Arabidopsis thaliana: one gene and its partners. The protein of the gene in region 2 purifies or fractionates together with the protein of the main gene of each other region. This does not show direct contact. Each region holds a gene or a part of one and is shown on either strand. Other genes may lie near its edges.

Region 1 (5,438 bases), on a different chromosome or scaffold from region 2:
TCTTTGACGAAACTGATCACCATTTTGAAGACTCCTAACACAGAGTGCATGACCACTGAACTGGTTATGAATGTCGAAAACTTTAGTCTTTGTTTTCAACTTTCAAACTGTCACTTGTCCGGCGAATGTGTATCAATGTAGGCATGAACAACAACTTTTTCTATGGTTTCAAGATGTTTTCTCTCTATATATATATCATTGGTCTCTAAGATATGTCGCTCTCTCCTTTCTTCAAAGAGTTTTACCAAATCTGAACCCTCATAGGCCACACCAATAGTTGTCTCTACTACCTATATATCATTAGTCTCTAAGATATGTCACTCTCTACCTTACTTCAAAGAGTTTTTATTCGCATTTTACTAATACAAGAATTAATGAAATATGATCATCTTATGGATACAACATCACTGCCGGTGTAAAAAGGCAATTACTTTTGTCCGGAAAGATCTAGTCCCTACCATATTTTCTCTTCTTCCTATCCCTTTTCTTCTCTTTTGACTTGTGTTTCTTACTAAGTTTCTTCTTATGCTCCTTTCTCTTTCTATGAGCCCGTTTGTAAACTTCCTCCTCGTCGGAAGAAGAAGAATCTGTCCTACGTCTCAATAAAGGTGATCGCTCTGGCTGAATCACTAGCTTCCGATCTCCTGTATCAGAAGTTCTTGACAATTCCCTCTCAGGAAGACAGGGTAGCGGTTCATCCATCATAGCACCAACAGAACCTCTGCCACGCTTGACCCTATCATAGACCAGAATCACAAGTTTTATCAGCAAAAGCCGATCCCAAATTCGATCATTATTGTAAAGGAAATAATCAGGCAGCATCTGAGTATAATGGAAATACCTTGATTGGAGAAAAGTCTTAACCTCGACATCTCCTAAGCCTTCATCATCATCATCCTCTGATTGCCATCTTTTGCTTCTGCTCCGGCTTGATGATGGTGATAAACTAGTAGTAGTAACATTCTCATCAACTGAAGTACATCTCTTTAAAAAATCCCTCCTATTGTTCTGCTCACTTTGACCATTGCTGCTCTCATCTCTTGATTTTCTTTTGAGCCTTTCACCAAACTCAATCTCTTTACTCCGAAGACTCCACATCTCATTGGTTTCCACAGCTTTGTTTGCTGAATGGAATAAAGAAGAAACAAATAAGAGATAAACTAAAAAAAAACTAGATTTTGTTGGATAGAAGCAAAGTCTGTCAACAAAAGATTATACCTTGCTGAACACCAAGAACTGTAGCAGTGAGAAATCTAGAGTTAGGTCGATGCCTTACATTAGGCTTCTCAAGATATGCTCTGACGCCATCTTTCTCAGCTTGTCTCCTCAATTCTGCTGCTTCTCTTAAAAGAATGGAAGCTATTCGATTTTCAGTTTCCAGATCCATCTACTCCAAGGTAAAACAAAAAAGTATAAGCCTAATCAAGTTATGTGATCAAATCAATCTGGGTAGATCAAACAAAGATGGAGTTGAACTTAATTCGACCACTACAGCTATCTAAATCATTGCTTCTTAATCACAGAACTTCCACTAAAGCTACGTTCTTTCGACAACGAAATCAACGAAGCAAAACAAACAAAATTACGTAAACACACAACAATCGAAAAGGGGATTTTTGGAGAACCCTATTGGTCGAGATTAATTACCACGAAATCGAATTGACTCAGATACAGATATCTAGTAGCAGCTTCACGAAATCGTGCGATTCCTCGGCGTTTTCCAGCAGGCGCAGAGCAAAATCATTGTCCGAGCCAGAGAGAGAAATAAATAAATTGAACTGAATTGGAAAATTCCCAAAAATTTCTAGTAAAACCGAACCGGAACAAACCGGATTAATTTCCTCTCAGACCAAACCGAAGAAGAACCCTAGTTTTATCAGTCTCACCAACTATCTCCCATGGTTCATTTGCTCTGCAAATTTGTCTGAAAAAATCTTTGTGCGAAGCAGGAAAAATGTCGTCGACCCATCAGTTAGTTTCTTCGATGATCTCTTCTTCCTCATCCACTTTCTTAGCCCCTTCAAATTTTAATCTCAGGTGCGTCGTTTTGTTTTCTTTTACTCTCTGTTTGCTACTGATATAATCTAGTGAGGATGAATATGAAATTGGATTCATTTCCAGAAATTAATTGTATGTTATGAATTTACTTGGAAATTTCAATCCTTTGGTTTTTAAGTCGATGTTGGATGGTGTTGTTTGGCCAGAGAACAGTGCATTTGCTTGTGATGATCATTGATTCATTTTTTTATTGGTTTGCTTTCCTTTTTGGCTTCAGAACTCGAAATGCTTGCTTACCCATGGCAAAACGGGTCAATACTTGCAAATGTGTTGCTACGCCGCAAGAGAAGATCGGTAATGTTCCTACTCCATGTTGTTTTTGCTGTAATGATTAGTAACATAGTTAATGATTTATCGTCTTTTAGCTGTTTATCTGTTTCTTACAATACATGATTTTGTTTTCTGTATGTAGAGTATAAGACCAAAGTGTCACGGAATTCAAACATGTCCAAACTTCAGGCTGGATACCTATTCCCGGAGGTTTGTTACCTGTTACTCTCTTGGTACTACTATTTAAGATTTCAAATACCTAAAGGAGTGGCATTTCAAGTTAACATTTTTGAAAGCTTCTAGTGATCTGAAATATTATAACTATCTGTGTAATAAGTTAATATATCCTCATTGATTCTGTATATAATGCTCCTCTCTCTTATTTTTTTGTGTGGATGCAAACAGATTGCAAGAAGAAGGTCTGCACACTTGTTGAAATATCCAGATGCACAAGTTATAAGTCTTGGAATAGGCGACACAACTGAGCCAATTCCTGAAGTGATCACTTCTGCTATGGCAAAGGTACCTCCTTATCTTAACTTAGCTTCATGTGCTCTTTGCCCTTCTCTGGGCTCTAGCATATTTTAAACTGATTTTACTAACACTGCCCTAACATGTATTATTTCGTTCATTTTGACAAAAATGTATAACATATTTTCTGTTTTGGCGTATTTGGATTATTAAACGAGAACTTCTCTGTAATCTAACAATGAAAATTATTCTGGTAGCATAGTTTTTTTGTTTGCTATACTATTCACACAGGCATGTAATCTCTAGAGATTAATCATGTTTTTTTTCTCTGACAGAAAGCTCATGAGTTGTCAACAATAGAGGGATATAGTGGTTATGGTGCTGAACAAGGTGCAAAGGTCAGTGCACCCTTCATTTCCACCTTATTGCGTTGTTATCATTTCTTTATTATCTGCCTTTGCACGTCACTTCAATTTTATTATGGATAGTCTTGAACTGCTGCTAAATTCAAGAGAAGATGGATTTAAACCTGTTTCTTACATGTAAAATCTTAAAGCTTAATCTGTTAAGTTTTTATCCAAACTAACCTTGATTTCACATATGTGAAAAGCCACTGAGAGCTGCTATTGCGAAAACATTCTACGGTGGCCTTGGCATAGGGGATGATGACGTTTTTGTTTCTGATGGAGCTAAATGTGATATCTCACGTCTCCAGGTTTGTTTTATTGCTGACTATTCATCTGTAATTGATACAAGATTAAGAAATATGAACAGCTGTTTCTTGATTCCACTTCTTGCAGGTTATGTTTGGTTCCAATGTTACAATTGCTGTTCAGGATCCTTCATATCCGGTAATTGGGCATATAGAAACCAAATTGCAGTTGTAGTCTTCTCTACTTTTGCTCCATTTTAACGTGGAACTATGCTGTCTCGTTTTTTTTGGATTATACAGGCTTATGTGGACTCCAGTGTTATTATGGGTCAGACTGGGCAATTTAACACTGATGTGCAAAAGTATGGAAACATCGAGTACATGAGATGCACTCCAGAGAATGGCTTCTTTCCCGACTTGTCCACCGTTGGCAGGACAGATATAATTTTCTTCTGTTCCCCAAATAACCCTACGGGTGCTGCTGCCACGAGAGAGCAACTAACGCAGTTAGTTGAGTTTGCAAAGAAGAACGGTTCTATAATAGTGTATGATTCCGCCTATGCAATGTACATGTCTGATGATAACCCACGATCCATCTTCGAAATCCCTGGAGCAGAGGAGGTAATAGACTGATTGATTATAACATTAAAAGGTCCATTTTTCAACATCTTTCTTCATGTGTACAACCGCTTACAGGTCGCTATGGAGACAGCTTCGTTCAGCAAATATGCTGGTTTCACTGGAGTTCGACTTGGTTGGACTGTCATCCCGAAAAAGCTACTCTATTCAGACGGTTTCCCTGTTGCCAAAGACTTCAATCGGATTATCTGCACTTGTTTCAATGGTGCATCTAATATCTCTCAAGCTGGTGCTCTTGCTTGCCTTACACCCGAAGGACTTGAGGTTAGCTTAGCTAAAGAGAGATCTCAAACCAGTTCCCACTAGTTCAGATATGCAAAATGATTTATTTTGTTGTCTTTTGAATCATTGCAGGCAATGCATAAGGTGATTGGATTCTATAAAGAAAACACAAACATAATCATTGACACATTCACATCTCTCGGGTATGATGTATATGGAGGAAAGAATGCGCCTTACGTATGGGTTCACTTCCCGAACCAAAGCTCATGGGATGTGTTTGCTGAGATTCTGGAGAAGACTCATGTGGTTACAACTCCAGGAAGTGGGTTTGGACCAGGGGGTGAAGGGTTCGTTCGTGTCAGTGCCTTTGGTCACAGAGAGAACATCTTAGAGGCATGTCGAAGATTCAAGCAGCTTTACAAATGAAGAACCTTGTTTGTAATCGTTCCTCATCATCATCACCCTCTTTAATGACATGATTTGAGTTAAAATAATGTCGTTTCCATTGTTTTCTGGAATTTGTAGAAGACACTTTTGACACCAGTGTTTCAAGCAATTTGGCAAAGTATTTTAACAACGAAATCAAAGTGCAAATAAGTGAACTAGTGTGGAAAATAAAATATTTAAATTGGACTGAGGAAGAACGTCAAAAAAATATAAAATTGGATTGGTTAAATAAATCTAAAATTGGACCGGGATGGGTGTTTTCGTAATTTAGGCTTGTTGAGCCACCGTGTGGGCAAAAATATCCAAAAACACAACACAAGTGTTGTCTTCTCGCGTCTCTCATCAACGAGAACCAGTTTTTTTGTTGATCCTATCAACAATGACGAAAATAGAGCTTCGAGCTTTGGGGAACACAGGGCTTAAGGTTAGCGCCGTTGGTTTTGGTGCCTCTCCGCTCGGAAGTGTCTTCGGTCCAGTCGCCGAAGATGATGCCGTCGCCACCGTGCGCGAGGCTTTCCGTCTCGGTATCAACTTCTTCGACACCTCCCCGTAAGCACTTCTTCTTCTTTTATATTTTCTAAAGATTACTGATTCTTCAATACTAATTGCTGATTCTCTGAATGTTGAGACTAATTTAATCGTTAAAGTCAAAATTTTTATTGGAAGGTTTCATATTTAC
Region 2 (4,562 bases):
TAAAACCAAATGAAAAATTGAATTGGATAACAGGTTGCAGATTCATGGGAGTCTTTAGATGGATGGCTTGACGCAATTCGTTTGGTTTACACAATTTATGCGAGAGGGAAGAGTGATGTTTTAGCCGGTATTATCACCGGTTAATAAATACTTCATTTAATATGACTATTTTGCTTTTTTATCTGTAGTTTTGTGATGTATTATGATCTTAGCGAAATTTTTTTGTCATTTTCAAACGCTTTTTGGGACCCTTTTTCTTATTTTCATCGAATACATTTATAAAATTACATGTTTACCAATTGTCGTCTGAATTATCCTTGAGTGTGAACTACTGTGTATGTTCTTGTTGTAAAAGAAAACTCCAAACATATACTACTACGGACTTGGGAAACTTTTTAGTACAGCCGTATTAGATGTTGGGCTAATGGGCTTATAAGTGTCTAGGCTTTAACGGCCCATTAAAAATCCGCCTCTCTCGCTTTCTCGTAACCGTAGTCGTGTCCCGGAATCCGGACGATCCACCGAGCTCGAAGCTCAAAAATCATGGCGTCTCTGTCGTGTCTCCCGATTTGCGGACTTTCATCTTCCGCTTCACTCTACACCAAGGCCCGACTACTTTCTTCTTCTTCTTCTTCCCCGTCGCCGCTTCCTCTAGCCTATCCTCTACAAAACCCTAAGAAGGTGATCGATCAAAACTAGCAATGGTTCTCTCAAGATATTTTTCTCAATAACTGGTTCCTTTCTTTGTTTTCTCAGCTATGTAGAAAGATTGAGAGAGTAATTTGCAGAGCGGAGTTTTCACAGGACGCACCACTCGTAACAGCAATTGGTGCGTGTATCCTAAGTTCATTTGTTTTTCCGGTGGCGAAACGAGTCAACGATGAGGAAGAAGAAGAAGAAAACTCAGCGATTGTGTCAACAGATATGAGATTAGCCGCCATGGGAATCATCAGCTTCATACCTTACTTCAATTGGCTGGTTTGTTTCATTTCTCCTTAATCCTTAGTAAATCTCTTATAATTAAATGTTTAAACACTAAACAAATTCAAAATATTGTGATGATTAAATACAGAGTTGGGTGTTTGCTTGGCTTGACACTGGAAAATCTCGTTATGCTGTTTATGCTCTTGTTTATCTTGTTCCTTATTTGAGGTAATTAATCTTGTTTAAGATGCATAATTGTTCAGTCTGAATTTGGTCATCTGGTTGTTCTAGTTTAGTGTTTGAGTTTATATTCATGTTTAATTTGGCAGTTCAAATCTGTCTATTTCTCCAGAAGAGAGCTGGTTACCAATTACAAGCATTGTCTTGGGCATTATTCATGTTCAGGTTCTCATTATTATGTCTTTCTTCTATAATCTGACTAAAACTCTGATTTGCAACGTACTTTGTGTTTCATCTTTTTTTTTTTGGTTGGGTAGCTTGAAGCAAGCATCGCAAATGGGGATGTTGAGACACTTGCATTCTTCAGAAACACATCTGATGACGATTTTTCATCTAAGAAAAGAATCCATTTTAAGAAACATTTCAAGGTAATCTAAGTGTCTTTAGTAAAAGAGAAATGCTTTCAAATTCAATTTATAACTGGACTTTTGATTTGTTTTCTTTTTCTTTTTGCAATGTAGGGAAAAAACAGTGACGATGAAAATTAAGAATAATTCGCAAAAGACACAAAGAGAATAAATGAATATTTGTAACAGACTTTAGCTATTAGCTTTGTTAATGTAATTGCCACAAAATCCGAATTTTAAAAGGTTAAATTTGATGTAGACGAAAACAAAATTATATCTCTTTTGCACATTTGAATTTTTTTTATACACCGCAAACTCAAAGTATTAAATTTGTATTTGAATTTGATGACTGTTATTTGGTAACATGATTAAGAAACAAAAGAAATTTTAAGGCCCATGGGCCTTTACTTTTAAGCATCATATAAATAGGTGGAAGAGGCCCATTTGGCATTTTATCATTTCTTCGTGAGATGATGTTTTCGGTAACGAAAGGTTTAATCAGAAACTTGGCCTTGTTCCAAGTTCGTCTTCCTCCTCTCGTAGCAGCAGTAATGGCTCCTTCAAGCGTCGTTAGGGTTTACTCTACCGCTACCTCTCCTTCTCCTTCTGAAATTTCCGTCAAGAAAGTTGGTACTCATAATGGAAGCTTTCACTGCGACGAAGCTCTCGGCTGTTTCATGATTCGCCTCGTCGATAAATTCTCCGGCGCTGATATCGTCCGTTCTCGTGACCCTAAGGTAACTCTAACAATCCTCCTGAAGTAGCTCTGGCTTAGGAAATGAGTATTAGGAGATTGATTAGTAGCTAGAGATTGACTGCTTAATTTTGGAATTAGGGGTTTTTGATGTAAATCTGGGTTAATTGTGAGGAGGATATGATTCTATGTTGTTGTACGGTACATGTAGATATTGGCAGAACTTGATGCAGTGCTTGATGTTGGAGGTGTTTATGATCCGGAGCATGACCGTTATGATCATCACCAGAAAGGTTTTGAAGAGGTTTTTGGACATGGCTTCAACACTAAGCTCAGTAGTGCTGGTCTTGTTTACAAGGTATTGTAGTGTTTGCTCTCATTCTCACTGATATTTCTATGAATATGTCAATTTCGAATTCTGAATGTTGGTGTTTTACTCTCAGCATTTTGGAAAGGAGATCATAGCTAAGGAACTTAATGTCGAACAAGATCACCCTGATGTTCTTCGGTTGTTTTTAGCTGTCTACAAGAGCTTCATGGAGGTAATTTCAGAAGTTCCTATTGTTTATTCTTCATATGGATATAAGTTCTTGTTTGTTTTGATGACGTTATGTTGCTTAATTTTTACAGGCAATTGATGCTGTGGACAATGGAATAAACCGGTATGATACTGATCAGCCTCCACGATATGTGAACAACACACATCTGTCTCCAAGGGTTGGAAGATTAAATCTGGATTGGATTGACCCTGACCAGTCACAAGAAAAGGAGAATGAAGCTTTCCAACGTGCAATGGCTCTAGCTGGAAAAGAGTTCCTCGAAGTAAGATCTCTTTTATATAACATTATGTGCTTATTAGTTTTTTTATGTCCATTGCAATGGTAGTTTCCTAGAGACATAACATGTTTCATAAAACAAATGTAAGCTTACACTAGTTTCTTTTATATTGTGTTGTAGAGTGTTCAGTTCCATGCAAGATCGTGGTTACCGGCTCGATCAATTGTGATGCAGTGTCTTGAAGAAAGATTCAAGACAGACCCCAGCGGTGAGATCATGATATTGGATAGATTTTGCCCTGTAAGTGTTTCAATACTCGATTCCTCTTGTCCATGCTATTACTATTTGAGTCTAAAGATATTAAACTCTGGTTCTCTTGTGAGCAGTGGAAGCTTCATTTGTTCGAGCTTGAGCAAGAAATGAAGATCGAGCCTCTCATCAAATACGTCATTTACCAGGTACACCTTTTTAGATAGAACCTTTCATCAAATAATGGATCTCTAAATCTGGTTTGAAATGTGAAAAAAAAAAAAAACAGGACGAGAGAGCAAAGCAGTGGAGAGTTCAAGCAGTGGCGGTCGCACCAGACAGGTTTGAGAACCGAAAGCCTCTCCCTGAGAAATGGAGAGGCCTTAGGGATGAGGAACTCTCGAAAGCTGCTGAGATTCCCGGTTGTGTCTTTGTCCACATGAGTGGCTTTATCGGCGGAAACCAATCCTATGACGGCGCTCTATCCATGGCTCAAACCGCACTCACTCTCTGAGCATCAAAAGAATCATTTACCCATTACTCATAGAGAGAGACCGAGAGTTTTGATATTGCCATTATCTTCTGCAATTTCTGTTTCATTGAGTCTTCTCGTGACAAAAAATTTAAGAACTAGATTTGTAGTCTCAAGCTGATTAGATCATATTATATGTTTGCTTCCTCTTGTCCGTTTTCACCTTTGGAGTAGATTTGTAGTAGAGAGCGTAAACAATATTAGCTGAAAACCACAACAATAATGTTCAGTGCTTATCTACACTATACCAGAATAACACATAGCAAAATTAACTTATTAAACTCTTTAGCTCACTGTTTTTATGAATTAAGTAATTTAGAGATCAAGTAACAATCATTTGAATGTTTGTTAAAACTCCATTACTACATTTGGAGTCTTGAGATGATTCAAAATATTATGTCAACCTTCTTCATGTCTAAGCTTCTATTTTCAAAAGTAAGATTAAATATTTACTTATATTTTTGGTGTTTCCATTTTTTTTTTATTTTTTTTTTGGGGTGATATACATGTTATTTCAACTCTAAAAATGTATCTAACCTTATTACTAATATAAGGTTTTACGGTATTTCGACATATAAAAATTAAAAAATAAGAACATCAGTTTATAAATTGATTTTCACTAAACAGAAATATTGTCGAACATATGGAGGGCAATAAACGATCTATATGATCATTGCCTCCAAATCGGAGATTTTTCACTTTTATTCTTCCATTCTTCTCTCTTATTTCAATCGGGTTTGCGTCGAAACCCGAAACCCACTTATCTCTTCTTCTCTGAAGACTCTATGGAGATCTCCGG
Region 3 (6,399 bases), on a different chromosome or scaffold from region 2:
TTTGCAATCAAGGCAATCATCAAGTGTGTTTGCAAGGGTGACCCAACTGCTGTCAAAACCATATCTGGACGATTCCTCACGACTGTTTTTCCTGGCGAAACTCTGATAACCGAAATGTGGCTTGAAGGCTTGAGGTAGAACTCTGTCTCTCTCTCTACCTTGTATTGTTCTTTGGCGATATATTACATAGATTATCCATATCACTGGTATATTCAAAACTTGAACTTAGCTTTTGATGTATTCACAGGGTTATATATCAGACGAAAGTGAAGGAAAGGAACAAAACTGTGTTAGCTGGTTATGTTGATATTCGTGGGTTATCTTCGTCACTTTAGAATGTTAGGTCCTTAGATATATTGGGCTGTCATAATATTGCAAAGGTAATAAACATGTCAGAAGACTCTTGATGTTTGCTTGGCGTAATGAGCCATTGAGCCATCAATAAACACTCTTTGATGACGGTCACAATTTACTGAAATGGTTAGTTGTATCGTGTTACTGTTGTAATAAATGTTGAGTGACGCAAAATGCACATGCCGGATGAAGCAAAATGCATTGAAGAAAATCCTTTTTGGGTGTCAATGAACTGGAACATAAAGCCTGAGAAAAAACTGAAACATGTGTTTACATGTAATTGTCACTAACTCATACAACGTCCTTGTTTGGACAGAAGATATTGAGAAAAGATATTTGGTGCCTGTAGATAAAGGAATTTTTTTTACTCCGTCCATGAAGCATTCACCATCTTTGCCATGAACGAATACCGATCAGCCGCTTCATCAATCTGTTGAACATCTCAATATCAGTTAACCATGGGAAAATGTATGTTATATGATGTAACGCTTAAGCAACGAGAATTTCTAAAATCATTACCATCTTTTGGGTTGGGCGACCAGCACCATGGCCAGCCTTGACTTCAATACGACCAATTATGGGGTTCATCTGAGGACTATTGTCTAAGCTTGTGCACAGCACGTGCTGCAACGTCTGCAGATGTATACATACGAGTTTTAACAATCTGCTGGCTATTTAAGGTAAGATTGAAAATAAATTAAACATTAAAGAAATAAAGTCTGGAAACGGACAGCAAGCAACTTCAAAGAGTGAAGTGGCACAACTCTGTCATCGTGATCAGCAGTCAGTAGCATAGTTGATGGATACTGAACTAAGTGATCGGTTTGTTGCTCCCATGGCCTCTTCACATTGTGCAGAGGCGAGTACCTTTATACATTCACACCCAGATTGTAACTTTGTATCAGCATTGGGAAACAAATCAATACAACATCATATCATAAGTTCATATACTTACTTTATCAGCCAATGAAACTCCTCTTCATTCTCAGAGCAACCATAATCAGATGTCCAGGCATGACCTATACATACATAACACCTCAAGTTAGAATTACATTAAGCAAAAAATCAAACAAAACAAATTGCAGATAACTGAACTCACTCACCTATAGTGAATTTGTGAAACCGTAGCATGTCCATGACGCCCACATGAGCCAAAGCACAACCATAAAGGTCCGGTCTCTGTGCAGCAGAATTGAAAATTTATGTATAAGTGTGGCAACTAAATGAGACGAAAATTACAAATTATTAGCTTCATATTATTCGTTTTTGTCCTGAATTATTGGCTATATAAACTTGCCTGATTTATGCAAGCACCGACAAGGAGTCCACCATTGCTGCCACCTTCAATACACAGCTTGCTCGGTTGTGTATAACCAGCGGACACGAGATACTCTGCCCCAGAGATAAAGTCATCGAAACAGTTCTGCTTTTTGGCAAGTGAACCTGCTTTGTGCCATTCCTCACCATACTCCCCACCACCCCGAATGTTTGCAAAGCAGAAAACAACACCGAGATGCTTGCTAAGCACAATACGGCTGGCACTGAAAGACGGTGTTATGCTTATGTTAAACCCACCATATGCATAGAGCAAACATGGGTGTGATCCATCAAGCTTAATATCCTTTTTCGCCACAATAAACATAGGTATCTTTGTTCCATCCTTGCTGGGATAGAAGACCTATAAAGAGGAGCAGAAACCACTTTAACATATGCAAAGTAAAAAGTAGTTATGAAAGAAACAGGAAGACGCTACAAGAGAGTGTGTTACCTGAATGGCTTGAAATGCTTCCCTGTCAAATCCGGGTACAGTAACCTCCCGGAATACCTTAACTTCTGGAGATTCATTGGCTAAGTCACACTTGTAAATCACACCAGGAGTGAGAAAGCTAGTAAAGCTAAAGAAAAAGGTATTGTCCTTGCGCCGAGCAGAAACATCAGATACTGAACCAATATCTAGAGGTAATTGGTGAAGCAATGAACCAGATTTCAAGTCCCTAATTTGCAGAATATGCTTTACATCGCTCATGTAGCATGCGACCAGGTGATTCCCATTGACAGCACAAGCTGATGCTAAGACATCCTTTTCGTGTTCTTCAACAACATCAGTCCAGCTGTTTGGTTCCTTTAGATCAACCCGGACTAATTTGTACTTAGGGGCATCTTTATTCGTCAAGAAAGTAAACAGAGTCTCATCATTTGAGATAACACTATATTGCGCGTCAAATGTGTCAACAAGCTTAATGAATGGAAGAAAACTGCTGCTTCCTCTGAAACTCTCAAGACCTCCTGACAATGAAGTCATATCGCAGTAGTATAATTTGTTGACAGGGTCACAACTCTCTCCAATGCTCATGATCAGATACTACAAGAAGAAATAACATTGATTAGACCTAAAACTAAGAATCCAAGTTCCAGATCTACAAAACTAGGTAACACAGTTTGAAGTCATGACCATCATTTAGAAAAAGGGAAACGATCAAAATGATTTTCCGTAAGTATGCGCAGAAAAAATAAATTTGAGGTTTAAGAGCGTAACCATAGTTAAAGAACCAACATAAGAACTTGGTGTGTTACCTTCCCATCGTCAGTGACTTCAGCTCCGAACATATATTTGGGATTCTCATTATCTCTCCAGCATAAGATATCTTGAGATTGATCCGTCCCAATGAAATGGTAATACAGCTCATGATAAAGGTTAGAATTAGTCTCAGTGCCAGCATCAATATCCTCTCCTTCTCTGCAAAACAAAAACAGATAAAATTGGTAAATCAACTTAGCTTTCTGAACTATATCGAAAGGCTTCTTCCAACACATCTTGTACTTACTTGGGAGCTGGGTAGCGACCATAGAAAAATCCTTTACTGTCGTGCGTCCATGTAATGCCGGTAAACTTAACCTGTTCCACGAGAGGAACATAAATCTATCAGAAATCTGGACGGTAGAACTTTATTGATCAACCCCACTAGTCAGTACCATCTTTAAGACCATACCCATGATAAAGTATCAGGCTCCACTTTCTTATCCTCGATTTTCATCAGCTTAATCGTCACCCAGTCGCTACCACTTGAACTAAGACCATAGGCCAAGTACTTAGCATCCTCGCTGACAGAAAAGGTGTTTAAGGCCACTGTTCCATCATCACTAAGAGTGTTCGGATCAAGCAAAACCTCTGGCTCAGCATCCAGATTATCCTGAACCCGAATGCAATCAAATTCAATGAGAAAACAAAGCTAGAACAGAGTATGCACTGATACAAACGCCTTTATCTCAACAAATACCTGCATATAAAGCACACTTTGAGCCTGTAGACCAGTGTTATGGAAGTAAAAGTACTTATCCCCTTGCCTGAATGGTGAATCGTAACGAGGATGATCAATAAGTTTCGTTATATTCTGACGGAGCTTCTCCTTTGTTTCACACTTTTCAAGTACAGAATCTGTCAATTTCACTTGGCTCTGCACAAACTCCTTCACTTCTTCAGCATCAGGATCCTCTAACCTAGCAACAATCCAGAATGACAAATTCAACGCTAAATCATAGCAAAAATGAACAAATCACACGAAATCACGAACAATTTAGGAATTTCTCTCAAGGTCAATCTCCAAGTCAAATCCAATGTCTGCTAATTCCTCAGAGCGATGTGTTCAAAATCTCATTTGGAAATATCGTTCTCATCCGGAAACCTAAAAGCATAATAAGAGAAATTGCAGCTGGAAACGAACTCTTACCAACGGTACGGATCTCCGATCTTGACGCCGTGATAGTCATCGACGACGGAATCATCACGCCGAGTCGCAGGATACTGTAATTGCTCGCCAAACACCGAAGAAGAACCCATTATCGCAGAGCTCGAACAATAACAACGACGAGAAACAGAATTGGGTCGATTGGAGAAGGTTTCGTTTAGGAGAAGAGAAGAGGAGAGAGGTGATTGGCGTAAGATATTTATACGGAGGCGGCGCGTGATTGTTGGGACGGTAACAAACGCGAAAACGTGAGAACGCGCGTGACTTGCAAACGCTGTGAGCATCGGTTTTCTCTCTACCGCTTCTTCTTCTTCCCCGAGATTGCCGTTAATATGTCAAAATGGTTTCGTCGTTCTATCAAACATTTTATGGTACCAAAATTTAATCTAAAATGTTCTTATTCAAAAATATATTTTTATCAACTAGTCTAAATTGTTATATTCTGACAGTTTGACTTGTATATTTTGAAAAGATTAGCTTTTTTTTTAATTTTATCTGTTGACATGTTTGTTTGGATAATTGGATCAGAAATATGAAATATCTAAGCATGGATACTTTTCCAAAGATACATGTGATTTTGTAGACCTTTTTTTTTTGTGGTGAGATGTGACTTTTGTAGACTTTGCAAAAGCTTATATCCATTGCAAACTGTATAAATAGGTTTTCGCTTAAGAAAAAACATCTTGAACAACCCACTAATTCATACAACACCATAGTTTGCGAAAATGATGCATAGCATAAGCATATGTTGTTGATACCATATTTAAAGCCTTTTGGGCTTAAACTTTATAATATAGTTTTGAGGTTCAGACCTGCTGAATAAACGAGCCCAACATAAAGCCCAATAAACTCGTTTTATCAGGATATGTGTAAACAAATTGCGACAAAGAGACTTTTCACCGTTTAGGAGGGAAACTAAAGAACATTTTTTCTTTTTCTTTCTAGAAAGTAGGTTTGGACTACTGCATTTGTTTTTTAAAAAGTCTCTATTACGCAGAGTTTGCAGAATAATAATCATACGCTACACTACAGATAAATAATTACTGGAGTTTTAGTGAATTGACCGAACATAAGAAAAAAATTACAAGATAAAAGCAACTTTGACCTACATAATAAACGAGAAAGGAAATTTGGGAGTCACGCGCATAGTTAAATCGCGTAGAAAAGTTTGGAGATTTGCCTTGAAAGGATAATTTAAATGCTACTGACACACTTCCAATGATGAGGTTACTAGGGAAAGTTTTTGTTGAATTCTTATTATTTTCTTTATTTTCTCTTTGACGTGGAGTTGTAATTTTTCAAACTTATGGTAAATGTATAAATCTACACCCTGTTTAATGAGCCCCTATAAACCATGCTAGATGCACAACAGAGACGTCGAGGATTATACATATCTACCAAGTCATCGAATGTCATATCATCACGATTACATGATAAATCCGAAGCTTACTTTCTCAACATTAAAATCCTCATTTTACCTAAAGAAGAAAAAAACGTTAGAATCCAATAATCGTAACAATGCTAAGAGCTTGGCAAAAGTCGTATTGTAAACTTGTTTTGCTTTCATATTTCCACATAGAATTGCAAATCATTTTGGTACCATCTAAAACCTAATTAGTCAACAACCGATATAAATAAACACAAAAATGTGGGAATAGTCTATAAGACTATAACGTAACTATAAATGTAAGAGAAAAAAACAAAGTACCTATAATATCAAAATAAGCGCAAGGACAACAATAACTCAGCATATATATACCTCAATTGAAAATACTGAGCTTAGATCACTTACATCAAATACATCTATAGAAACATGTGAGTGTGACTATACAGAAAATGTATACATTCCGACTATAACAAAAGAAAACGTCATAATAATGCCTAAGAAAAATACTCCATTTTAAGATTGAACTCGATATTTCTCGAACCATTTATAGGATTGAACACAACTCATCAGATAATAAAGAAACAAATATACTCCTATATAAACAAACAAAAACTCACTCTTCCTATATAGTATATAGATTCAAATTAAAAAAAAAAAAAAGCAAGACATCATAATAACACTGTGTGGGCTTCACAAACATAAAAAGGAAGAGTAAATTCTCCTTTTCATTACCATATTCTCCTATGACTTCAATCTACCTGTACCTTGTAGGGAGTAATGGGTCCTCTTTCTTTATGAAATAATTTACCTTTCCTAGATGATGTAAACGTCTCAAACGCCACCACTACTCTGAAATCTCACATTTGTCAACGCCGTTGCAATTTAAAAAGATGATGAGTTCCTACAATGAAT

The links. Proteins that work in one complex are often made in the same cells at the same time.
Region 1: the proteins of AT5G41970 (region 2) and AGD2 fractionate together in Arabidopsis thaliana (co-fractionation; one large-scale study listed by BioGRID). This does not show direct contact.
Region 3: the proteins of AT5G41970 (region 2) and AT1G76140 fractionate together in Arabidopsis thaliana (co-fractionation; one large-scale study listed by BioGRID). This does not show direct contact.

What each region holds. Positions count from the first base shown.
Region 1 is NC_003075.7:16,171,147-16,176,584, reverse strand, and holds AGD2 (Pyridoxal phosphate (PLP)-dependent transferases superfamily protein), read left to right. Parts: upstream 1-1,861; 5' UTR 1,862-1,954; coding exon 1,955-2,037; intron 2,038-2,275; coding exon 2,276-2,352; intron 2,353-2,470; coding exon 2,471-2,538; intron 2,539-2,733; coding exon 2,734-2,850; intron 2,851-3,134; coding exon 3,135-3,197; intron 3,198-3,409; coding exon 3,410-3,514; intron 3,515-3,599; coding exon 3,600-3,650; intron 3,651-3,751; coding exon 3,752-4,072; intron 4,073-4,147; coding exon 4,148-4,354; intron 4,355-4,444; coding exon 4,445-4,738; 3' UTR 4,739-4,904; downstream 4,905-5,438. Other genes in the region: AT4G33700 (CBS domain protein (DUF21)), read left to right, coding at 1-38; AT4G33690 (G patch domain protein), read right to left, coding at 448-736, 842-1,124, 1,219-1,387; AT4G33670 (NAD(P)-linked oxidoreductase superfamily protein), read left to right, coding at 5,139-5,308. UniProt on the Arabidopsis thaliana protein: Required for lysine biosynthesis. Catalyzes the direct conversion of tetrahydrodipicolinate to LL-diaminopimelate, a reaction that requires three enzymes in E.coli. Not active with meso-diaminopimelate, lysine or ornithine as substrates.
Region 2 is NC_003076.8:16,789,217-16,793,778, forward strand, and holds AT5G41970 (Metal-dependent protein hydrolase), read left to right. Parts: upstream 1-1,934; 5' UTR 1,935-1,981; coding exon 1,982-2,248; intron 2,249-2,416; coding exon 2,417-2,563; intron 2,564-2,648; coding exon 2,649-2,747; intron 2,748-2,835; coding exon 2,836-3,027; intron 3,028-3,162; coding exon 3,163-3,282; intron 3,283-3,368; coding exon 3,369-3,440; intron 3,441-3,520; coding exon 3,521-3,745; 3' UTR 3,746-4,045; downstream 4,046-4,562. Other genes in the region: AT5G41950 (Tetratricopeptide repeat (TPR)-like superfamily protein), read left to right, coding at 34-144; AT5G41960 (zinc finger matrin-type protein), read left to right, coding at 544-681, 757-978, 1,073-1,152, 1,254-1,329, 1,422-1,532, 1,626-1,652; AT5G41980 (nuclease), read left to right, coding at 4,549-4,562.
Region 3 is NC_003070.9:28,569,172-28,575,570, reverse strand, and holds AT1G76140 (Prolyl oligopeptidase family protein), read right to left. Parts: upstream 4,442-6,399; 5' UTR 4,385-4,441; coding exon 4,083-4,384; intron 3,853-4,082; coding exon 3,633-3,852; intron 3,546-3,632; coding exon 3,345-3,545; intron 3,251-3,344; coding exon 3,180-3,250; intron 3,092-3,179; coding exon 2,929-3,091; intron 2,717-2,928; coding exon 2,123-2,716; intron 2,033-2,122; coding exon 1,652-2,032; intron 1,534-1,651; coding exon 1,458-1,533; intron 1,374-1,457; coding exon 1,310-1,373; intron 1,222-1,309; coding exon 1,086-1,221; intron 988-1,085; coding exon 874-987; intron 832-873; exon of another isoform or gene 785-831; coding exon 719-784; 3' UTR 535-718; downstream 1-534. Other genes in the region: ECH2 (enoyl-CoA hydratase 2), read left to right, coding at 1-134, 248-335.